6 linked regions of the Xenopus tropicalis genome follow. The protein of the gene in region 2 purifies or fractionates together with the protein of the main gene of each other region. This does not show direct contact. Links are inferred from orthologs where the notes say so. Each region holds a gene or a part of one and is shown on either strand. Other genes may lie near its edges.

Region 1 (4,187 bases), about 110 Mb from region 2:
TTTTTTCCCATTCGTGATTCGGATTCGTGGATTAGTAAATATGCCCCTTAGTGTTAGAGGACAGGAAGTACAGATGTAAGTGGCATTTGTATCACATGCTCCATAAGAGTGACTTTAACATAAATATATATATTGATGTCTACAAAGCAGGACACTTAAAAGATTAGAGGAGAATATTAGAAACATCACTCCTTTTCAGGATCAATAATTAGCAACGGTCCAAAAGTACCTGTACTGAATCTTTTTCCTGGGAGTCCCTGGTGGAGTGCTTTTAGGCCTACAGCTTAAGGTGTTTTTGTTGTTTTGTATTTCTCCTGGGCTCCACAGAAGGGGTGTCTGACAAGGTGGTGCAGTGTTCCACTTTACAGTTTGATCCACTCTTACCCCAGAGGTACCAAACAGAGTCTCGTCAACATAGGAGTTGGCAGCTTTGAACCGGTAAGCGCTTCTGCTTTTGCGCTGTGGAAGTGCAGTGCGATGCCCAGTTATAGAGAGATCCAGAGACATTTCAGAAGCAGGCCTAAACTGATACTTGTTTAGATGTCTCCTAAAAATATAGAATAACTTAATAAATACAACATTTATTTAAACATACTATACAAAAAATGCATTGTTTTCATATACTAATAATGATCATCTATTTATGTTCACTTGTCTATATATCATATATATCCTGTATCATGTATAAGCAGATAAAAGACATAGACAGCAGAACATGCATTTTTATCCCAGAATTTAGGCATCGTTGTGATAGCAAAGGAGTGATGCTCTTGACGCAATTGCACTGTGGCTACCTTAAAAGGATTGTTCACCTCCAATGTCCAAATCTTATTAAACCACCAACAATGCTCTCTTTAGAAAATATCTTCAGTTGCAAATTTTTTGTTATCTTTCTATATGGAAAAGATTGTTCTATTAATGTGATCTGTTACATTTGTGAATGTTGTACAAAGGTGAACAACCCTTTTAATTGTATCTGATTTGGCAAAACTGACAGAACTTGCCATGTGCTTTGCAGCAAATTGGGAGCACTGCACAGAATTTTTCAAAGTCTACCTGGTGTTGTGATGCGTTTGCCCTATACTCCTACTGAAACTAAACTGTGGTGATTGATGTAGGGCACTGACAGGGCCAGATTTGGGCAAGGCCACAAAGACCCAGACCTAGGGTGGCATAAATTTAGGGGCGGCATTCCGGCCAGCCACATGTAGATGTTGCTCACATGTGGAGCACTAAGGACGGGACATGCAGAAAACTGCAGCTATTACCGTCCCCAGTGCTCCGTATGTAAGCTAAAAGGACGGGCATGCACGCAATCCTGTGGGGGGGGGGGAGGCTGGAGAATGGGGGCAGCCTATGGGCACCCTAATCAGAAATCCAGCACTAGGCACTGAGGGAGATCTAAAGCTACCGCTTGGTAGGCTACCCCTGTGTCAATAGGTACAGCAGCGCTCAGTTCTAAACGGAAGGCAGGAAGGGCCAAGTGTTGCCAAGCGTTACTAAAGTGCAAGGAGTGCATTTTGACACAAGTACCTTTAAAGGACAATGAAAGGTTAATATAAATTAAAAGTAAGTCTAAAGGCATTTTTTTTTAAGTACTTACTGCATATCTAAATTCCCAGATCCCTGCTTGCTTCTCTGAGATATGGTGCTGGCAGCCTACAGCAGTGTGAAGCCTACAGTGACATCTCTGAAATCTCTCTCCTTCCTATTCTCTGAGCATGTGTACAACCTAATCCTGTCTCCTGTTCTGAGCTACACATACCCACCAGCCAATCAGAAGCGGATCTGGCAGAGGGGAGGGGGGAGGGAATGAAACACATGTGCAGTATGAAGCAAGGAGGGAAAGGAAGGGAGAATACCTTTTTAGAGATGGCTGCCTGTTCTAGAAAATGTGAAGTAAGTGTGACTGAGTAAATATTTGATTAGGTGAGCCAAAAGTGTGGCGTTTTTACTAAACAATAGGAGGACTTTGGGCAGTATGCTTTTTAAATTTTGACTTGCATTCTCCTTTAATGAAAGTGGTTTTCCATGCAACTGACTGGGAGGGAAAGTGCAGGGACCGCAGCTGCACTTGCGGACTTACGTAAGCCCTATGAAGTACTTGCCTCCGCTGCCATTCCAGTTGGATGTTAGGTCTAATTGTGCAATTTAGCTTAACCATTTGACCAAAGCTGTAGCACACTACCCCATAAGCCTGACTAAATGTCAGTACAGGAAACTATAACTCAAAAAACAGCAATACAAATCAATACATGCAAATATTCTTTAAGCAACCTTGTCCAATCAAATGTTTTAATGCAGTCCTTGCCTTATAGGATTTTCAACCAATGCCAAACAACATTTGGCTAGAGTTCTGTCACACAAGTTGCAGTTTCTGAATACAAAACACTTGGCTAATCTCCAGAAAATAAAAGGCTACACTAGTGAACTGGGCGGGGAATTTTGAGAACTGAGTAGAAAATGAGTATGTATCAATGAATATAACCATAACTTTTAAAAATGTAACTTTATGACTTGAAGTATTACCTGATGGCAAAACGTTTATACCATTGGCATCATGTTAGGCACATGCAGTCGATAGACTTGCTGCAGGCAGCCTCTTTCAGCCGACGAGATGAGTGTATACATGCAGCTATACAGGCAGCTATACAGGCAGCTATACAGGCAGCTAGAGACAACTGTGTGTAACACGCTCTGCCCAGCTCCCATGGTAATGATACACATTACAACTCGGACTCACCCAAACCCGAGAGCAGGGACAGAGGTTACACAGTGTATCGCATTTCTGTATTTCAGCTCCTCATCCGTTTTGCAGTGCAGAAATGTGGCAGCAGAGAGCTGGCAACAGAAGTGCGATAGCAACACACCGTCCCCTGTTCACTGACACCAAGTGGTACATTCCAGGAAGTTGTACTCAATCCCTTCCGGGTGTCTGTGAGACACGTGGGGGATAGACGTGCTCGTACATTCAGAGGATCGCTGATGGTCTGGGGTTAAACTGAGCTATTTTAAAGACGATATAGATATAGTCTTAGAATTGCGGAAATGGCTCAGAAAAAACGTAAGGGACAGCGATCTCGGAAATGCTGTCAAAACCAAGAGAGCGACGAAAGCGACACAGTGGGATTTCGTGTCAAAGCTGCACCCCAAAAGGAGGATGGAGTAGTAAGTGCGAACTGGCAATTGTAGCTCGCATGTTCGAAATTAGTTTCTCAGGATTCAAGCAACTAAGTTACCATCTGTACTCAGAGTAATTTTGCAATTGAGTGCCGCAGAAATCTTTCAGGGCACTGTAGGGTTAATAGATTCTGTGAGGGGAAAGTGCTTTGTAGTTTTCTGGTGCTATATAAGTCACTGATATTATGTTTTACCGAGCAGTATTACTTGACAAAAGTCAACACCAGTATCACTTTTATTATCATGATATATATTTCAAGCTCATTTCTTTCCTAACCCCCTAAGCACAGGGTGCTGAGGAACTTCCAGTATATATTAATTGGAAAACTGAAACGTTAAAGTAGAGCTGGGCGGTATGACCAAAAATTTATACCACGGTATTTTTCAAAATTATATCGGTGTCACGGTATTTGACGGTATTTTTTTTTTCCCATGCATGATTAGGTGTTAACCCCATTTCCTAATAAATTAGAGAATAATTACTGCAGTATTGAAAATCAGAGTCAGGCAAGCGAAGGATCGGCAACAGAAAGTCGTAAGGTAAATCAGGCAGGCTTAGGGGCTGATTTACTTACCCACGAACGGGTCGAAATGAGTCCGATTGCGTTTTTTTCGTAATGATCAGTATTTTGCGATTTTTTCGGATTCTTTACGAATTTTTCGTTACCAATACGATTTGCGCGTAAAAACGCGAGTTTTTCGTAGCCATTACGAAAGTTGCGCATTTTTCGAAGCGTTAAAACTTACGCGAAAAGTTGCGCATTTTTCGTAGCGTTAAAACTTAAAAGGTGCAAAGTTTCGCGTAAGTTTTAACGCTAAGAAAAAAGCGCAACTTTTTGCGCAAGTTTTAACGCTACGAAAAATCGCCAGATTTTACGCAACTTTCGTAATGGCTACGAAAAACTCGCGTTTTTACGCGCAAATCGTATTGGTAACGAAAAATTCGTAAAGAATCCGAAAAAATCGCAAAACATACGAAAAAGTCGCAAAATGTTCGTTTTCAAGTC
Region 2 (3,500 bases):
TTTGGCTGCAGTGCAGGTGTTTTTCTTTCTGTTGGGACCTCAACTTAATATCCTCATTATCTCATGATCAGGTAACCTATGGCTGATCAGTAGCAGCTGCTGATTAAACTACAATTCTCACAGTACCTTGTGTAAATAATCAAGGAGTAGCTTGAACAAGGTTAGCTCCCAGACAGAAATAAGAGGGTAGTATGTCAGTTAATATATGTTTAAAGGGCCAAAAACATAAAAAAATCCTCTTTATTATCTCTTATATCTATTCAATGTGGATAGAAAATTACAAAACTGAAGTTATAATTATTATTACTGATATTAGAAAGTAAGTGAGCACCTTTTTTTAAAACTGAGGGTATCTTCAAAATTACATAGAAGTCATGAAAATTACACCCAGAAAGCAATTGCAAATTAGCTTTAATTTGACAGCATTGTAAAATCATTAAGCTGATATTAAATGATTCCAAGCAATGAAAGTAGTTTAGAGTTCTAAACAGGGCTGTGGAGTCGGAGGCAATTTTGGGTACCTGGAGTCGGAGTCAGCAAAAAATGAACCGACTCCGACTCCTACTAAATTTAAATGGGAATAAAAAATAAAAAAAATAAAGCAAGTTTAAATGTCCCAAGTCACAAACAGTCATAATTAATTACTTCTCTGCTATAAGAATAAAGCCCAATGCACGCAGTGCATAAACGAACACGTTGAGTGACCATGAAGCATGCTTTTCATTGACTGTATGAATGTATAAAATACATTAACATATTAAAAACAGAGGAGTCGGAGAATTTATCTACCGACTCCACAGCCCTGGTTCTAAAAGGCCATACAAATGCAGTTTACTTTACCTGAAGGCTTTCTACTACAGGCACTGGAGTCACTGGAGCATTTACTGGCCCCATGCCTTCATAGAAAGTGTATTCTGCCTTATCTGTGCTAATGATTGTCCAAGAGGCACCATCGTTAATCATCTCTTTATTTGGTTCTTTGGGACATGGAGTGGCCTGAAACACAATGTGTAAACAGGTCATATACTTTGCATATAGCATCAGAATTAAACATACTCATAATGATGTAACTGTCAGTATAATAAAGAAATGCCTTATGTCAATTAATTGAATAGCAGGCCAAAAATTCAAAAAGGTGTCTCTCCAGCTGGAACATGTCGGTCTTTCTGTAAAGGTAAATTCAACAAGCACCAATACCCTGCCTAGCATGCATATGAAAGGTGCCACCCACTGCTTGCACTCCAAAAGCCTTACAAGTTGGCACAAGTCACGCAAAGTTGAACTTAGAGTAAAATATTGATTACTTTACCTTTTAGTGTTCCTCGGAACTGAAAAATATATTACGTACTAAACTGGTCCTAACTTTAACAGTGAAATAGCTCAGAGACCTGTGCAATGAACAATTGCGGTGTGGCTAAACTGACTTTCTCTGGTGCTCTGAACTTGCCCATGGCTAAAGAGAGGAGGGACTTTCTAGTAAGTTAATACTTCTGCAAGGTACAGTATTGCACCTCCTTATTAGTTCTGTGGTGCTGCCAGAAATCAACTCTAAAATTGCAGAGAACTCATACAGTCTTGCGCAATGTTAGGGAGCTGCTTGCTTAAAAAATCCCAGAGACCAGTGGAATCAGCTACATTTGATTTCACCAAAGACATAAAAAGACTATGTAACAGAGCAGTAAATCTTTCACATCCCTACTCACTTGAAACTGGATAATTCTTTCCTGAGAAAGGCACAAGTACATTCTTTCTGTATCCTTCAGATAAAATGCACATTTATGGAGCTGGGATACAGGATCATCTGCATCTAACAATGCCGTCTGTTTATCCACTTTGCGGATAATCTGCAAAAAAGACAAGAATTATATTTTTACATCAGCATTAATAACATAGTTAAGCTGGCCAAACACACTGATATAATCGAACAAAACTACATTTCATATGATTTTCAGACAGTGTGTGGGCTCAGAATTATCGCCCCTATAATTTTCATTTCATGCCAATCGGTCAGGTTAGAAAATTTCAGTCATATAACAATAGAATCTATGCACGTGTTGTGTATCTGACAATATCCTAGGGAGACCTACAATGCACTTCTGGGACATCACTTTCGTATGATTGGCGTCCGCAAATTTTATGTTCAGAACATCCTCTGATTTGTTATTTTTAGGACTTTATCCTACAATTTCAATCTGAATGTTAGTTTTAGATTTTTGCATTTAAATATATGATCGATATCCGATGTTCACCGTAAAAGAAGTCTAAAACCTTGCACATGTATGTCCACATTTAGAATTCGTAAACCTGTTTAAAACATTTTGATCTGTGTGTAATTTAAAAAACAAAACGGATAGTTTACCAGTCGTGGGAGTGCCATGCCAGTTACCGAACATACAAGCTTCACCGTCTGTCCATAGTGAATGTAACCGTCACGCACTGTGAATTCCTCTCCTTCAGACTCTTCGTCATCCACTAAGAAAAGATGGAACACACACAATCAGTTGTAGGACTATTAGATCTCATACACATGGTGGGCATATTTCCAATTGCCTATCCACTTTTTCTACAGTGCAGTTTTGCAAACCACTGCTTTAGAGAAAGGTTAATTCTACAGGCTGTCTTTCAACAACAGACAATCTATTTTGGCTTTGTTGACTACTTACAAAGGTGAATGTAGAAAGCTCCCCACTGTTGCGAGCTGGCGTGGAAGTTGCCGCCTTCTACGTGCAGATATCTTGTGCTGACTGTCTGTGATCGCAGCCGGTTAAATAGTGCCACTTTTGTCCCTGACGCAATACATACTGAAACATAAAACATATTAATATAGCTGAATAGGCAAATCCTTTATGCCATCATCTAAAAGCAACCTCTGCACTAAGCAAATCATATTTAAAATATACACCATAAATATGGCAAGGATAGGCTACAGATATAGAAGGCCACCACTAACATACTTACTGTCCCTTTAAATTCTTCCCTGAAGTATTTGGTACATTAACTACAACAATACTTATTTTGTATCAATAATGCAAAAAGATCAGTAACAAATTATACCTTTATTAAATGATTTATTTTCCCTTTTCTTAACTGCTTTCTTTTAAACAATACAACTATATACACCCTATTCCCACTGTACGCATGAAGGCCTCACTCAGTTCTGATGTAAACAAAGCTCAACCTTTTAACTACAACGCAGGTATAAAACAAAACAGAAAGCATCTAAACATTTAAGGGAAGCAGTTTACTGTGGACAAAAACACACCCTTATGTGCAAGTGTAAAGTAGCATTCTTCATTGAAAACAACAGCTGCGCCCACAGCTTTGCCTTTAGTGTAATGGCACATGGAATCACCCCCATTCAAACTCGATGGGAACTGCCACCAAGCGCCAGGTCCTGTCTAATGACAAATATGTATCACCCAAAAACATACGCTGCAGCTATGGGTCAATAAGTTCAAACAGATTTATCAGTAAAGTAAAACCTGCTGCTATCTAAAACA
Region 3 (4,295 bases), on a different chromosome or scaffold from region 2:
AAACAGAATGAAGAGTAGAAGCAAACTGAAAGAGAAACCATCTTGTCATCCCACTCTGTACTCCCTCATACCGCACCCACACTCCCATCTTATTCCACATGTACTCATTGTAGAATTATGGGGCTTATTAATCAAAATTCGAGAATGCTTTTTCCCAGTGATTTAAGATTTATGTTTGAAAGGAAAAATTCAGGATAGTTCCATATCAGCTAAATGATGCCACTTCTCTTCTTCCTATGATATATATATATATATATATATATATATATATATATATATATATATATATATATCTAGCAAATGCTGTATTGGGTGTTCTGGGATTAAACTGAACAATGCAGCACCATATAAAGTAAGTACAGAAAATAAAATATGCAGAAAAACAGAGTACAGCTTCCTGCACGAGGTGCTTTTGGCAGACAAACTAAAAAAGTGGAAGAACAAAAGGAGGCTTTGTTTGGCTAAGTGCTTTGCGTCCAACTGCTCAGACCGTGCCAGAGTACTGGAAAAGTTCTTTACTTTCTATAAAACACACAATAATGAGCATTTGTAACAGACAAAAAAAAGGTAGAAAAGATCAGACGTTTATATTAAATACAAGTCGATGGCTGCTCGTTAGATTCCCGCGTCACGACATGTCCGCATATACATAAACCTTCCCAAAAACATCACGTGACATTGTAACAGAATCCACTGGGCACAGAAGTTGCTAGAACATTTCTGCTGCCAAACAAAAGTCAACTTTTTCCTTTTTTTAAATACAGCATTAAAAGTGGAATGAGCTGGATAAGTTATAAAAGGAATATTGACATAAACTGGTATTAAAAGGCTGAGAGTACAAAACATTCAAATGATATTTTACATTTAAACATGTAGTTATATATATATATATACACATACATCCCTTGTAAATGGGACTGACAGGTGCTCCCCGCCTGTGGCTAATTAACAAGTTGCACATCTACTGGAATGAATGTGAATTTGCACATTGATTTGATCTTCAGATATTCCAGGTGAGCAAGAAAAGTACAGACGCGCCAGTGTGAGCAGTGCAATGTCTCCTGAAAGGCTATCTCACATTTGGACTGACCCTTGTCTCTAAATAAGGCACTAAAAATGTTCTTTGCGCCCAGATGTTGAAAAATTGATCTGAGCAGTTTCTGTTTTTACTAGACATTGTATGAATTCAGTCTCGATCCTTTGTTCAGACAGGAAGCTTTAGTACAGTCTGTACAACACTTGTGTTATATAACAAAAAAGAGCACCTGCAATTGAAATAGGTACCTGTGTGGTACAAGGAAATACATAAACAGATGCTGCAGATGAAGCAACTTCTGAAAGTATAAATTGCCTCCAATAGCCTTCATTTGTTCAACGATTAAACGTAAATTGCACCGTGTCCTATGCATAAATCTGCATGCCATTGTGTGATTGTTCAGGCATATGTGTGGCAGGCATTCTTTGATTGCCATTAGGGGTCGGACTTGTAGTTACATCTGACCAATCAGAGGCAGAGTTAGGTGAGGAGCTGGACCACTGATCTGGAGATTCTGGTGAAGGGGTCAAGTAAGGGTGCTCTCCGGGTAAATGTCCATTATGGTTTGGGGTTTTATCAGTGGAAGTGTAGCTGTGTTGTGATGGTGGGGTTGGATATTTTCCCATTGGGTTCTGAAGGGGATGGTAAGCTGTGAGCATAGTTTGAGATAACTGTCCATCATGTTGATGCATCATTGCTATAGGAACAGAAGAGCCAGTGATCCGTGCTCTATCAGGAATCTGATACATGGCAGCCACATTCTGACCATGACTAGCCTGCTGCACAAGTGTCTGGATGCCAGACTGCTGGTTCATTCCACTCTTTGGGATAAGCTGGAAAGTCATAATAGGAGGCAAAGCATCCCGAGCCACACCCATATGCAGTGTTGGCTTGATATCTGCTTGGATAATACCATTTTGTTGAGGAATACATGAGTGGTTATTTGTGTCATGGTGGACTATACCAAACATTTCATTATACTGGGTGTCATTCCTTTCCATGCGGCTCAGCCAATCAGATGACATAGTGAGCTGTCTTTGTGCTGTAAGAACATTATTTTGAGCCGAGTGTGATAACAACTGTCCAACAGAAGGCAGCATATTATTGGCTGCACAACCAACGGGCTGAAGATTAGTTAAAGACATTGTTGTGCGTGGTGGCTGCAACGTAGAGGCTGCAATCATCTGTCCAGGGGACGTATGCAGCGCTCCAGGAGATGTAATGGTAGGAGATGAAGTAGCATGGGGGGATTCAAGAGAATCCACAGGGGATAATGTTACTGAGCTTTCAGAAAGCTGCGCTTTACTGTCAGTATCTGACTTTTTCCTCCTCCTGTTTTTGGTATCTTTTGGTTCTTTGGCTAAGTTTGGAAGACTTCGAGGTGCTACACTTTTGGCACTTGGCCTTCTGGCCTTCTTTGTTTGTGCGGCATGTTTCAGGTTCAGGAAAGATCTGTTGGAGCCACACACTGCTGGCGACAGGGAATTTGAAAGCATTGTACCAGGCTGTCCTTGTGGGCTGTGCACCAAGTTATACTCGTCCAACAGGCGCACAATGTCATGATGCATTCTGTCCTTGGCAATGTCACGGGGAAGACGATCCATATGGTCAGTGATTTCTCGGTTTGCAAAGTAATCCAAAAGCATTTTGGCTGCTTCAAAACTACCCTCTCTAGCAGCAAGAAACAAGGGTGTTTCTTCCTACATCAACAAAAGAAGAAATATAGTTATCCATTGTGATACTTTCTACTAAAGGTACATTAAACAGCAGCAGGGTACATATTTCACACTTAATGATGAACACTTCTCTAAACAAACATGCAGAACGCATTTTGCCAGATTCCAAACATTCAAAATAGTTAAATCAACCAAATTTCATCTATTTTCCTTAAACTCTGGACCAGCAGAGAGCTCGGAAATACTGCAACATGTCTATATGCTTTAATATCTAACAGCACATTCCAAGATGTTTACCTTGTTGTCTTGCATATCCCTATTTGCTCCATTCTTTAGCAGAACAATTGTAGCCTCAACATTGTTTACTGCAGCAGCCCAGTGAAGTGCAGATTTACCTGTAGGTGGAAAAATCATTTAGATATGGCAAAATGGCAAACTGCAATAAAATATGTCTGATAATACTAGTCAGTCTTTGTACAATGTATAGAAACTATCATCAGTATCATGTCAGTATTGGTAAGGCTTACAAAGTTGACAGAGGCACAGTCCCTGGATAACAATAAAGAAAATATACAGGTGGTAATTATTTCCTAAGGTCTCACTTTTATGGACTTCTACTTGTCCTTTATTATTTACATGTAAAAATGGGTTTTGCAAGATATATCTTCTAAAACCACTATAGGTCAGTTCCCTACTTCGGTAATGCTCCTACCAAACACAGTAAAACTAAATTAGAATGGATATAAACATGTTTCTAGTATAAAAAAATAGAGGTCCTGTTGGAAGCTGCACAAGCTCCAAGGTTTGCTCAGGAGCCCATTGTTTCATTATAGGCATCAAGACCTCATTTACAGTTATGATCTAAGAATCCTTTGATGGAAAAGCGTAGCTGTTAGACACCAGAAACCACAACATAACAAAATATTACAGGTTGCAAAGGCCCCTTGTAGGAGAACACATCCAATGCATGTTCATACTAAAGACTTTATTCTTATATATCAATCTGTTTTGTAGGAAGCTCCTCTGGAACAGTGTTCCTGCATGATACCTAACCATAATAAGAAAAGACAAAAATGGCCAATACACAAGCCACACAGAGGTCTGTCCAATAAAATAGAGAAAGCCTGCACAGCCCATGATTTCTAGAGAGAACTGAATTTTTGAACAGCAGACAGAGCAGACACCTTGATGGTGTGGACATTAATAAAAAGTAAGCATTTTCCTTGTGTGCATATTTCCCATGTAGAGAAAAATCAGCTATAGACCCTACTTTCATGTACCCAGAAGGCTGTCCTTCAATGCGGTCTGATGATGATCCTCAAACAATTCCAGAATGCTTCCAGAGAGCTCCAGCAATATGGTTAAACTAATCTGACAGCATGATTTGACTTCTTACCATGATCATCCACTGCATTAACATCAGCCTGGCAGTTTATTAAGTCTGCAACCATCCCTTCCACAGCAAGGCGGGCAGCTAAGATGAGAGGGGTTGTACCATCATTCATCCTCGCATCGAGGTCTGTGACTCTGTTACGGATCAAAATCTATTAGAAAAAAGAGAATAAATAGGTTAGTTCCTTTGG
Region 4 (4,033 bases), on a different chromosome or scaffold from region 2:
ACGCGGAAGAAGGAATCGCTTGCTGCAGGTACCCCGGGCTGGTGCTGTTTTCTCCTAACAGGGGCACCAGCCCGGGGTACAAGGTAAGCGATTTAATTCACTTGGGGGTGCCTAACATTTTGGCACCCCAAGTGACTTAGCCTTTCCTTCTCCTTTAAAAATAAATTCTACGTCTCCAAAGTTCTTCCTGTAACTTCTTATTATTTATCTTGATCTGTTCCTTCTGATTATGCCTGGCCTATCAGGGTGCCAAGAAAACCCCTTGGTGGACCCAGGTGATTGGTGGTTTTGTATGCCTATATCACTGCCATTCCTCATTCCTGTATGAGAAAAGGGGATATAGAAACTATGGAGAGCAGGATAGATGAGTGTATGTAACATAAATAAGGTGAGTAAATAGTAAATCAAAAGTATAGACAGTAGGGCTGTGATCCAAGCCTTTCTGGTAGGCCCCTGGCATCTCAGTCCAACATTGCTAAACATCCTCAGTCCTGCAAGGGTAACTAGTGATTTTAAGAAGCACTGAAAAGGGCCCATCTATAAGAAACTGTGTGGTTTTGGTCTCCAGTTTTTTTAAAGGGATGTCATTGATAAAGGAAGGTTCAGAAAACAGTAACAAAACTCAAAGGATATGGAAAGTCTAAGACATTAAAAAAATACTGGCCAAGTTGGGTTTGTTCCAAAGGAGAACCAGTGCTTTTAGAGTTAGGATCACTATTTATGACTATATGGAAGGACAATACAGAGGATACAAGGGCATCCCATGAGGTTTGACTAAAGGAGGTTGCCTTTTAGAGTACAAAAAGGGCTTCGATAACAGAATAAAAGTATGAACTAACCCTTTATGTAAATTTGGCCTGGACTTGCAGATCGCAAACAATTTATCCCCTGACATCTCTTTGTATCCTAACAACAAACTGCTCCAAATAAAAACCTGGCCAGTTGCTTGGAAGGCTTGCCTTATGTCAGAGGATATCTAGAGAAAAGTGACAGATGCAGTACAAACAATGGCGTGCCTGAGTTCTGACGGAGCTGTCACAGGCTGCATGATAAACCCCACACAGCATTTGTCCGCTCCATATCAGAGTCATTTATTTAGGATATGTTTGCTCTTCAGCCTGTTGCCCAGACAACAGCTAAACCTTGCACTGTGGAGCTTCAGTTGCCATTTATGAACAATGAAGTCATCTTTATTGCCAATTACTGCCCTATTATTCATATATTCCCTAACAGGTTACATGCTAGGTTTTAACTGAATCTATAAAAGAATCAATCACACAATATAAAGGATAAGTACTGAGAGCACGCTAAGCTCCAAGAGTGATATGCTGTAGTGCAGGTGAGGGCACAGCAGACTTGGTTTCCACTGGAATTCCACACTGTGTCCCATTAATAGATGAGACCCACATTCTCCTAAAGACCTTATGTTTATTCTCTTCAGAGCGTAAGTCATATGAATAAACACTAATCTACAGATAAATAAGCCTTACTGCAAGGAAGGATTAGTGTAACTATACTTTAGTAGAAATTTTGACTTATTAATCAGCATGTGCATTACAAACTCAGCAAAACAGGTATGAAAAAAGTTCCAGGGGTGCTGGAGGTTTGTTTGTCTATTTGGTAGCCCCTATACAATCTGGCAGCCTACAGAAGGTTCTGTTTGGCTTTACACTGGGGTTTTTATGCAACAAAAACTTAATTAAAAAAATTAAAAAAGCTTAATTAAAAAATAAGCACCTGCTTTGAGGCCACTGGGAGAAACATCCAAGGGGTTGGTGAGCAACATGTTGCATACGAGCCACTGTTCGGGGATCACTGGAATAGCTCAAAGAGCTCACTGGCTTATATAGGGGTCTGATATACAGGGAAAATGGCCTGAGACACTACAGATACAATAGAAAGGCTAAACAGGCTCATTGCAGTATCAGTAAGAACAGAGGAAAAGGCAATCACCAGAAATGTCTTTACCACACCATTTACTCAGTCATTAAGGGGTTAGGTGGAGTGTAAGAAAATGTTAAATGAATGATCAATAGATACAAACATCAAATGTGTCTGATCTGTAATGGCATACAGTATATTTATATTTATTCTTTGTTTTCCCTTGATATAGGTCACTAGGTGTGACCAAAACGTTGGGAATTTAAATAAAGCCTTTTTGATTTTTTGTAAAATTCCTGTTGAGTGTGAAACCTTTGATTTATATACATATATATATACTCATATACACATATATTTATAGCTATGCTACAGAAACCCATTGGAAGCAATTTAGCACTTTGTGGTCTGAACACACACAGGTTATTGTAATCTGATCATGTTTATCTGCTGTTCTAGTGTCTCAGCTGTGTAACACATTGACACGTTGATGCAAAAATCAAACTCTAAAATACACTAACTTACTCAGCTATACCATCACTACTTCTAGCTGTGCCTAATATCCCTTTTAAATACACAAAATGAAAATTAGTCTCCATGCTTCAAAATTTAATCTGCAACAGATACCTCAAACCCCCACTTGCATCCTGTCTGAATACATAAAAATTGTGTAGAATATAATAGGATACACTTTAAAACAATATTCTGTTCATAAATATTTGCTGCAGTATGTAAACACTGTCATTTGGTCACATATTTAAATCTCATGTATAATACACTGCACAAATTATTTATGAGTTAATAAAATAACAGAGGAAGTTCTACATTTATTTACCTGAATGCCTTTCAAATGCCATTTGGGAACGAGAAATTCACAAGCAGCCTCCTTAGCCAAGTGGTCTGTTCTTTGGTTGATACCAAATGTACTGTTTGATAATGTATGTATACAGGGAGCTATTAATAAGGAGTCAGATGCAAAATGTTCACACCCCCCTCCAGGGATTTCTTGTTTAATCCTACTTGAAAAGCAAGACCATTTTTGGTTATCTTTTGAGAGAAGAATAGAGTCCAGAAAAAATCGTGTACACATAAAATGCCCATGCAACTACTCAGATTTCTAAATTAGCCACCCCATGAAAACACAGGAGTTCAAGCCCTAAGGAAACCTAACACCCCACTTAAATATCACAGAACATTTTCCCTGCCTCAGATGAAAGTTCAGGACACAAGTCCACTGTAAAATAATATTCCAGTGTTTGTAGATTTCTGCCAGGTATATACATCCTTATTTTGTTTGGAGTATAAGATATGAAGTGCTTTTCTTAAATTGGGTTGAGACCCTCACTGTTCTTAATACATTTACCATAGTGAAACTGAGTGATAAACTATACAATATGAAGCTGAGTCAACTGATTTAACCTTTTAACAGACCTGTCTTTATAAGAGGACAAGTAGTAGCAACTGCTTTATGATCATCTAAACAATGGCCAAAGGCCAAACAAATGTAAAATGCTGTGCTCTGCATCGCCAACAACAAACACTGGATGGATATGAAGTGCAATATGAATACCTTTATTGAAAGAGATCTCAAATCAATCCCTAAACAATATACAATAGTAATAAAAAATAAAATACATTAGATGGACGAAACAGCACCCTCTCTTATCCCACAAAAAGATTGTAGATGGGGCCCCTCAAAAAGGCTAAGATATTTTAGTTAAGTAGAGTGATGTTCAAATAATAATAACAGAAATGGGAATTGTACTCATCCAGCTGTACATAATTATGAATCTATCACTCCTCACTATAAGAGCACTTAAGGCATAGTAGATACACAATATAGTACAAAGTAAAATCAAAGATTAAAGATACATGACAAATAAAAACCTAATTTTCCTATTTCCATCTGGAAATTTTAACATTATGCAACAATTATATATTTTTTTTAAGTTATGAATGCCGATAACTGCAGTATATATATATATATATATGTATAAAACAACATGTTATAAATGTCACACTTCTACTTCATAGAGCATATTGAGCTTAGTGGGACAAGCACGTGGGTTAAACTCACAGCCAGTGAAAGAACATTAATGCAAAGACATTTCTGCATGTGCATGGTGCACAGGGGATGAATTATTCAATTTTCTTA
Region 5 (3,264 bases), on a different chromosome or scaffold from region 2:
CTGCGTCATTGGAGATAAGATGATAGTGTTTGGGGGCTCCTTGGGCTCTCGCCAAATGTGAGTAGATATTTTCTATTTTCTTGCCTATTCGTTCGACTAGAGCAGAACTTACACTGAGCGGGGAGAGATGGGAAAGTACAACTGGCATGGGCCAAGCAGCAGCCAATCAGCAGATAGCGTTAGTGGTACAGCAGCTAGCAGAACTCTACCAACAGCAACCAATCGGCTGCAGCCTTCAGCAACCAGTTAGCAAGTAGCTTTATAGTAACCTATAGCAGCCAGTCAGTAGTAAGCCTTACTCTGCCCATAGCAGCCAGTCAGTAGTGAGCCTTACTCTGCCAGTCAGTAGTGAGCCTTACTCTGCCCCATAGCAGCCAGTCAGTAGTAAGCCTTGCTCTGCCCATAGCAGCCAGTCAGTAGTGAGCCTTACTCTGCCAGTCAGTAGTGAGCCTTGCTCTGCCCATAGCAGCCAGTCAGTAGTAAGCCTTACTCTGCCCATAGCAGCCAGTCAGTAGTGAGCCTTACTCTGCCCATAGCAGCCAGTCAGTAGTGAGCCTTGCTCTGCCCATAGCAGCCAGTCAGTAGTGAGCCTTACTCTGCCAGTCAGTAGTGAGCCTTACTCTGCCCCATAGCAGCCAGTCAGTAGTAAGCCTTGCTCTGCCCATAGCAGCCAGTCAGTAGTGAGCCTTACTCTGCCAGTCAGTAGTGAGCCTTGCTCTGCCCATAGCAGCGGCCAGGTCAGTAGTAAGCCTTACTCTGCCCATAGCAGCCAGTCAGTAGTTGAGCCTTACTCTGCCATAGCAGCCAGTCAGTAGTGAAGCCTTGCTCTGCCCATAGCAGCCAGTCAGTAGTAAGCCTTACTCTGCCCATAGCAGCCAGTCAGTAGTAAGCCTTACTCTGCCCATAGCAGCCAGTCAGTAGTAAGCCTTACTCTGCCCATAGCAGCCAGTCAGTAGTGAGCCTTACTCTGCCCCATAGCAGCCAGTCAGTAGTAAGCCTTGCTCTGCCCATAGCAGCCAGTCAGTAGTGAGCCTTACTCTGCCAGTCAGTAGCCTTGCTCTGCCCATAGCAGCCAGTCAGTAGTAAGCCTTACTCTGCCCATAGCAGCCAGTCAGTAGTGAGCCTTACTCTGCCCATAGCAGCCAGTCAGTAGTGAGCCTTGCTCTGCCCATAGCAGCCAGTCAGTAGTGAGCCTTACTCTGCCCATAGCAGCCAGTCAGTAGTGAGCCTTACTCTGCCCCATAGCAGCCAGTCAGTAGTGAGCCTTACTCTGCCCCATAGCAGCCAGTCAGTAGTAAGCCTTACTCTGCCCCATAGCAGCCAGTCAGTAGTAAGCCTTACTCTGCCCCATAGCAGCCAGTCAGTAGTAAGCCTTACTCTGCCCATAGCAGCCAGTCAGTAGTGAGCCTTACTCTGCCCTATAGCAGCCAGTCAGTAGTGAGCCTTACTCTGCCCCATAGCAGCCAGTCAGTAGTGAGCCTTACTCTGCCCATAGCAGCCAGTCAGTAGTGAGCCTTACTCTGCCCCATAGCAGCCAGTCAGTAGTGAGCCTTACTCTGCCCATAGCAGCCAGTCAGTAGTTAGCCTTACTCTGCCCATAGCAGTCAGTCAGTAGTGAGTCTTACTCTGCCCATAGCAGCCAGTCAGTAGTGAGCCTTACTCTGCCCATAGCAGCCAGTCAGTAGTGAGCCTTACTCTGCCCTATAGCAGCCAGTCAGTAGTAAGCCTTACTCTGCCCATAGCAGCCAGTCAGTAGTAAGCCTTACTCTGCCCCATAGCAGCCAGTCAGTAGTAAGCCTTACTCTGCCCATAGCAGCCAGTCAGTAGTGAGCCTTACTCTGCCCATAGCAGCCAGTCAGTAGTAAGCCTTACTCTGCCCCATAGCATATAAGTGACCTTGTGGTATTGGGGTTGTAGCAGATTCTGTCACTTTATTCCTCAGTCCTGTGGGGCATTTAGTTACTTACTGTACCCCCATTATCTGTGTCCCCCCTCCCAGGAGCAATGATGTGTGGGTACTGGACCTGGAGCAGTGGTCATGGTCTAAGCCCACTATTACTGGTTCCTGTCCTCATCCTCGTGGCGGGCAATCTCAGGTAGGTGCCCAACTGCTGGGGCAGATATTACTATTTCCAGGCTAGAGCAGTGATTGGTGTTGTGGTATATTTGGTGTGACTCCAATCTCCCCCCAGTACTTACCCAGGTACAGAGCTCTGATTCTCTGTACTTCCTGCTCCTGGGCTGCTCTCTTTCCCATGGTCAGGCAGGAACCCCCCCCCTGGGTAAGTGAATCCAATCTCCCCCCAGTACTTACCCAGGTACAGAGCTCTGATTCTCTGTACTTCCTGCTCCTGGGCTGCTCTCTTTCCCATGGTCAGGCAGGAACCCCCCCCCTGGGTAAGTGAATCCAATCTCCCCCCAGTACTTACCCAGGTACAGAGCTCTGATTCTCTGTACTTCCTGCTCCTGGGCTGCTCTCTTTCCCATGGTCAGGCAGGAACCCCCCCCTGGGTAAGTGAATCCAATCTCCCCCCAGTACTTACCCAGGTACAGAGCTCTGATTCTCTGTACTTCCTGCTCCTGGGCTGCTCTCTTTCCCATGGTCAGGCAGGAACCCCCCCCCTGGGTAAGTGAATCCAATCTCCCCCCAGTACTTACCCAGGTACAGAGCTCTGATTCTCTGTACTTCCTGCTCCTGGGCTGCTCTCTTTCCCATGGTCAGGCAGGTACCTCCCCCGGGTAAGTGAATCCAATCTCCCCCCAGTACTTACCCAGGTACAGAGCTCTGATTCTCTGTACTTCCTGCTCCTGGGCTGCTCTCTTTCCCATGGTCAGGCAGGTACCTCCCCCCTGGGTAAGTGAATCCAATCTCCCCCCAGTACTTACCCAGGTACAGAGCTCTGATTCTCTGTACTTCCTGCTCCTGGGCTGCTCTCTTTCCCATGGTCAGACAGGAACCTCCCCCTGGGTAAGTGACTCCAATCTCCCCCCAGTACTTACCCAGGTACAGAGCTCTGATTCTCTGTACTTCCTGCTCCTGGGCTGCTCTCTTTCCCATGGTCAGGCAGGTACCTCCCCCTGGGTAAGTGAATCCAATCTCCCCCCAGTACTTACCCAGGTACAGAGCTCTGATTCTCTGTACTTCCTGCTCCTGGGCTGCTCTCTTTCCCATGGTCAGGCAGGAACCTCCCCCATGGTAAGTGAATCCAATCTCCCCCCAGTACTTACCCAGGTACAGAGCTCTGATTCTCTGTACTTCCTGCT
Region 6 (3,963 bases), on a different chromosome or scaffold from region 2:
CTGTGTGTTTTCACCCTTAGTCCAACATGGACATGTGCAGATGAGTGTTCCTGCTAGCTGGCTGAGTATAAACATACAGACAGGCTATCCTGTTCTAACTACTTGCTCCAAGAGAAAGTTGAACCTGTGAAAAATCCTGGGTCAGAGCATATGCCCAATACAAGCTCCGGGCTACAATCCGGAGAAATCCCTTCCGTGCCTCAACAAGGGTGAAGACACACAGAGCTACTAGTAGCAGCTACTTGTCATGGCTATTAAAATAGACAATGCTGACCATTTACTGATAATTGTCTCTACATGTGTTTAAGCAGAGGCAATTCTCTGTATTGTCTATGGCAGGGTATTTTCTGGTATTTAGTAGCCCTAACAAGTAGCTGCTACTAAGTAGCTCATATGCCCAATACAAGCTCAGGGCTACAATCCGGAGAAACCCCTGCCGTGCCTCAACAAGTATGTATAAGTAAGGGTGAAAACACACTGAGCTACTAGTAGCAGCTACTGAAACAGACAATGCTGATCATTTACTGATAACTGTCTCTACGTGTGTTTTAGCAGAGGCAATTCCCATTATTGTCCATGGCAGGGGATTTTCTGGTGTTTAGTAGCTGTAAAAAGTAGCTGCTACTAACTAGCTCATATGCCCAATACAAGCTCAGGGCTACAATCCCCAGAGCTACTAGTAGCAGCAGCTACTTTTTCCCTGCTACTAAATGCCAGAAAATCCCCTGCCATAGACAATACTGAGAATTGCCTCTGCTAAAACACAGCTAGAGACAATTATCAGTAAATGATCAGCATTTTAGTAGCCACAAGTAGCTGCTACTAGTAGCTCCGTGTGCCTTCACCCTAAGGGCTCTGGCACACAGGGAGATTAGTCGCCCGCGACAAATCTCCCGTGTCTCAGGCGACTAATCTCCCCGAGTTGCCATCACCTGCCATCCCACCGGCGAAAGTGTAAGTCGCCGGTGGAATGGCACACGTGGTGACGCGATTTCAGTGAGATATCGTGCAAGTTGCCTCGAGAGGAAACTTGCGCGATCTCGCTGAAATCGCGCCGCCGCGTATGCCATCCCACTGGCGATTTACATTTTCGCCAGTGGGATGGCAATCCGGGGAGATTAGTCGCCCGAGACACGGGAGATTTGTCGCGGGCGACTAATCTCCCCGTGTGCCAGAGCCCTAAGAGTTTAAAGGCCACAGAGTAAGAAATCCTTGCCATGCCTCAACAAGGGTGAAGACACACTGAGCTACAAGTAGCAGCTACCTTTTCCCTGATACTAAATGCCAGAAAATCCCCTGCCATAGACAAAACAGAGAATCGCCTCTGCTAAAACACATGTAGAGACATTTATCAGTAAATCATCAGCATTTTAGTAGCCACAAGTAGCTGCTACTAGTAGCTCCGTGTGGCTTCACCCTAAGAGAGTTTAAAGGCCACAGAGTAAGAAATCCCTGCCATGCCTCAAAAAGTAAGGGTGAAGACACACTGAGCTACTAGTAGCAGCAACTTTTTTCCTGTTACTAAATGCCAGAAAATCCCCTGCCATAGACAATACTGAGAATTGCCTCTGCTAAAACACACGTAGAGACAGTTATCAGTAAATGATCAGCATTTTAGTAGCCACAAGTCGCTGCTACTAGTAGCTCCGTGTGTCTTCACCCTAAGAGTTTAAAGGCCACAGAGTAAGAAATCCCTGCCATGCCTCAACAAGGGTGAAGACACACAGAGCTACTTAGTAGCAGCTACTTGTCACGGCTACTAAACACCAGAAAATCCCCTGCCATAGACAATACTGAGAATTGCCTCTGCTAAAACACACGTAGACACAATTATCAGTAAATGATCAGCACAAGTCGCTGCTACTAGTAGCTCCGTGTGTCTTCACCCTAAGGGTGAAGCCACACGGAGTTACTAGTAACAGCTACTTTTCTTGGCTACTAAAACAGACAATGCTGATCATTTACTGATAATTGTCTCTACATGTGTTTTAGCAGAGGCAATTCTCAGTATTTTTGGGAGTTTAGTAGCCTTGAAAAAAGTAGCTGCTACTAGTAGCTCCGTGTGGCTTCACCCTAAGAGTTTAGAGTAAGAAATCGCTGCCATGCCCCTGCAGGAAGATCGCAGAAGCCCTGCCGTCACTTACCGCGATGAGAGTGCTGTTCCTACACTGCTCGCCATTGCCGCCGCCGCCTCCGTCGGTATCCAGGCTGCCGGTAGTGCTGGGATTCCCCCTGCCCGGGCCGGACTCGGCGCTAGAGACAGCCTGCTGCCTGTGCTTCCCGGCCCTCTTGGCCTTGGCCTGCAGGCAGCGCTGGTGTAACTGGAAGGTATGCTGCCTCTCTAGCTCCAGCCTCTCCCCAGCTAAGGCTTCGTATCGCGACTCGCAGGTACCGTGGTGCCGCCGGCAAAGCTCTATCCGTCGGCGGAGGCGCTCCATCACGGCGCTGTGTCGGGGGACCACAAAATCCGCCATCTGTGGGGAGAGGTGAAGCCGGACTATTACGGGAATAGCACTCTCATACCCCCGGCCTGAGGAAAAGCCTCCTCTGACAATGGCAACACTTTCCCCCCCCCGCACGGTATCCACTTCTCTCCCGCCTCGCAGCTCCCCCTAACGCCCCCGCCGCCCGCTCGCCATTGTTATCCGAGCGTCCGCCATCTTGAAACTACTCTTCTCTCGGAGTAAAAGGGGTGCAAGCGTCACGGCTGATAGGCAGAGACCGCCGACCAATCAAACCTTGGCGTGGGCGGAGCCCAAACAGTGACGTCTGTGTTTTGTAAACGGATCTTCGGGAGCAGTGTTTTGCCTACGGTAGGCGGAGAGGGGAAAAAAAGGTTGAGGATGCGGAAAACCAATCCAAAGCGAGCGGTAGTGATTGGCTGACGTTGAAGGGTGGAGCTTTGCCAATTAGAGTTTAGCGGCTCCTCCCTGAGTTTGCTCTAGATTCCCAGCTCAGAAGCAAAACAAGTGGTTTGTGTATTTTTTTTTTTTTTCTTTTGGAACAAAGATCAGATTCTGTTGAGGCACTAAAAATAGCAGGAAGGGCAGCTTCTTCTGATGAACAAAACTGAAATCAACACAATGCTCTGCTGCAGCTATATTTAGCTTGAAAACTTTCCAGGCACCCCCTGAGCTTTAAATGGTACATATTTTTGATATATTGTTCAATTTTTAAATGCCAAGGTATTCCTCAGCGCTGTATGGTAGCAAAAGATTCACAGTACATGCCCTGGCTTGAACAATATAAAATACCCCAAAATTTACCAAAAGCGAGGTTAGATCATACCTCCCAACATTTGAAAAACAAAAAGAGGGACAAAAAGATTTGGCGCGCGCGTCGCGGCAAAATTTTTTGGTCACGCCCACTTTTGTGACCACGCCCCAATTAACACACGCCATTTTTTTCTAAAAATACTCCTTTTATATAGTTGAAATGGCGGGATCAGATGCAAATGTGCTATACCCTCATACTGTACTACCTAAGGAAGCCCACAGAGCCCCCCATACACAGTGCCCCCCCATATACAGTGCCCTTCATACACAGAGCCCCCATATACAGTACCCCCCATACACAGTACCCTTCATACATAGAGCCCCCCCATATACAGTGCCCCCCATACACAGTACCCTTTATACACAGAGCCCCACCATACACAGAGCCCCCCCATACACAGTGCCCCCCATACACAGAGCCCCCCATATACAGTACCCCCCATACACAGTATCCCCCCATACACAGTGTCCTTCATACACAGAGCCCCCCATATACAGTACCCCCCATACACAGTACCCTTCATACATAGAGCCCCCCCATATACAGTGCCCCCCATACACAGTACCCTTCATACACAGAGCCCCCCCATATACAGTACCCCCCATACACAGTACCCTTTATATACAGTACCCTTTATACACAGAGCCCCACCATACACAGTGCCCCCCCATACACAGTGCCCTTCAT

Evidence for each region.
Region 1: the proteins of rbpj (region 2) and rita1 purify together in Homo sapiens (affinity purification with mass spectrometry; 4 studies listed by BioGRID and IntAct, with this or other methods). This does not show direct contact. The link is inferred for Xenopus tropicalis from reciprocal best matches to the Homo sapiens genes RBPJ and RITA1.
Region 3: the proteins of rbpj (region 2) and notch2 purify together in Homo sapiens (affinity purification with mass spectrometry; 3 studies listed by BioGRID and IntAct, counting the BioPlex papers as one, with this or other methods). This does not show direct contact. The link is inferred for Xenopus tropicalis from reciprocal best matches to the Homo sapiens genes RBPJ and NOTCH2.
Region 4: the proteins of rbpj (region 2) and fhl1 purify together in Homo sapiens (affinity purification with western blotting; 4 studies listed by BioGRID and IntAct, with this or other methods). This does not show direct contact. The link is inferred for Xenopus tropicalis from reciprocal best matches to the Homo sapiens genes RBPJ and FHL1.
Region 5: the proteins of rbpj (region 2) and fbxo42 purify together in Homo sapiens (affinity purification with mass spectrometry; 3 studies listed by BioGRID and IntAct, counting the BioPlex papers as one, with this or other methods). This does not show direct contact. The link is inferred for Xenopus tropicalis from reciprocal best matches to the Homo sapiens genes RBPJ and FBXO42.
Region 6: the proteins of rbpj (region 2) and maml1 purify together in Homo sapiens (co-immunoprecipitation; 12 studies listed by BioGRID and IntAct, counting the BioPlex papers as one, with this or other methods). This does not show direct contact. The link is inferred for Xenopus tropicalis from reciprocal best matches to the Homo sapiens genes RBPJ and MAML1.

What each region holds. Positions count from the first base shown.
Region 1 is NC_030677.2:145,154,659-145,158,845, reverse strand, and holds the start of rita1 (RBPJ-interacting and tubulin-associated protein 1), read right to left. Parts: upstream 2,801-4,187; 5' UTR 2,530-2,800; intron 1,900-2,529; coding exon of another isoform or gene 1,873-1,899; exon of another isoform or gene 1,868-1,872; intron 548-1,867; 5' UTR 508-547; coding exon 230-507; intron 1-229. Other genes in the region: ATP-dependent RNA helicase DDX54, read left to right, coding at 3,049-3,168. UniProt on the Homo sapiens protein: Tubulin-binding protein that acts as a negative regulator of Notch signaling pathway.
Region 2 is NC_030677.2:32,051,653-32,055,152, reverse strand, and holds part of rbpj (recombining binding protein suppressor of hairless), read right to left. Parts: intron 2,802-3,500; coding exon 2,664-2,801; intron 2,473-2,663; coding exon 2,360-2,472; intron 1,845-2,359; coding exon 1,704-1,844; intron 997-1,703; coding exon 841-996; intron 1-840. UniProt on the Homo sapiens protein: Transcriptional regulator that plays a central role in Notch signaling, a signaling pathway involved in cell-cell communication that regulates a broad spectrum of cell-fate determinations.
Region 3 is NC_030680.2:117,858,467-117,862,761, forward strand, and holds the end of notch2 (neurogenic locus notch homolog protein 2), read right to left. Parts: intron 4,257-4,295; coding exon 4,109-4,256; intron 3,108-4,108; coding exon 3,010-3,107; intron 2,737-3,009; coding exon 1,402-2,736; 3' UTR 501-1,401; downstream 1-500. UniProt on the Homo sapiens protein: Functions as a receptor for membrane-bound ligands Jagged-1 (JAG1), Jagged-2 (JAG2) and Delta-1 (DLL1) to regulate cell-fate determination.
Region 4 is NC_030684.2:68,791,434-68,795,466, reverse strand, and holds the start of fhl1 (four and a half LIM domains protein 1), read right to left. Parts: upstream 2,801-4,033; 5' UTR 2,736-2,800; coding exon 2,714-2,735; intron 1-2,713.
Region 5 is NC_030683.2:132,640,700-132,643,963, reverse strand, and holds part of fbxo42 (F-box only protein 42), read left to right. Parts: coding exon 1-57; intron 58-1,999; coding exon 2,000-2,096; intron 2,097-3,264. UniProt on the Homo sapiens protein: Substrate-recognition component of some SCF (SKP1-CUL1-F-box protein)-type E3 ubiquitin ligase complex. Specifically recognizes p53/TP53, promoting its ubiquitination and degradation.
Region 6 is NC_030679.2:12,091,845-12,095,807, forward strand, and holds the start of maml1 (mastermind-like protein 1), read right to left. Parts: upstream 2,801-3,963; 5' UTR 2,475-2,800; coding exon 2,145-2,474; intron 1-2,144. UniProt on the Homo sapiens protein: Acts as a transcriptional coactivator for NOTCH proteins. Has been shown to amplify NOTCH-induced transcription of HES1. Enhances phosphorylation and proteolytic turnover of the NOTCH intracellular domain in the nucleus through interaction with CDK8.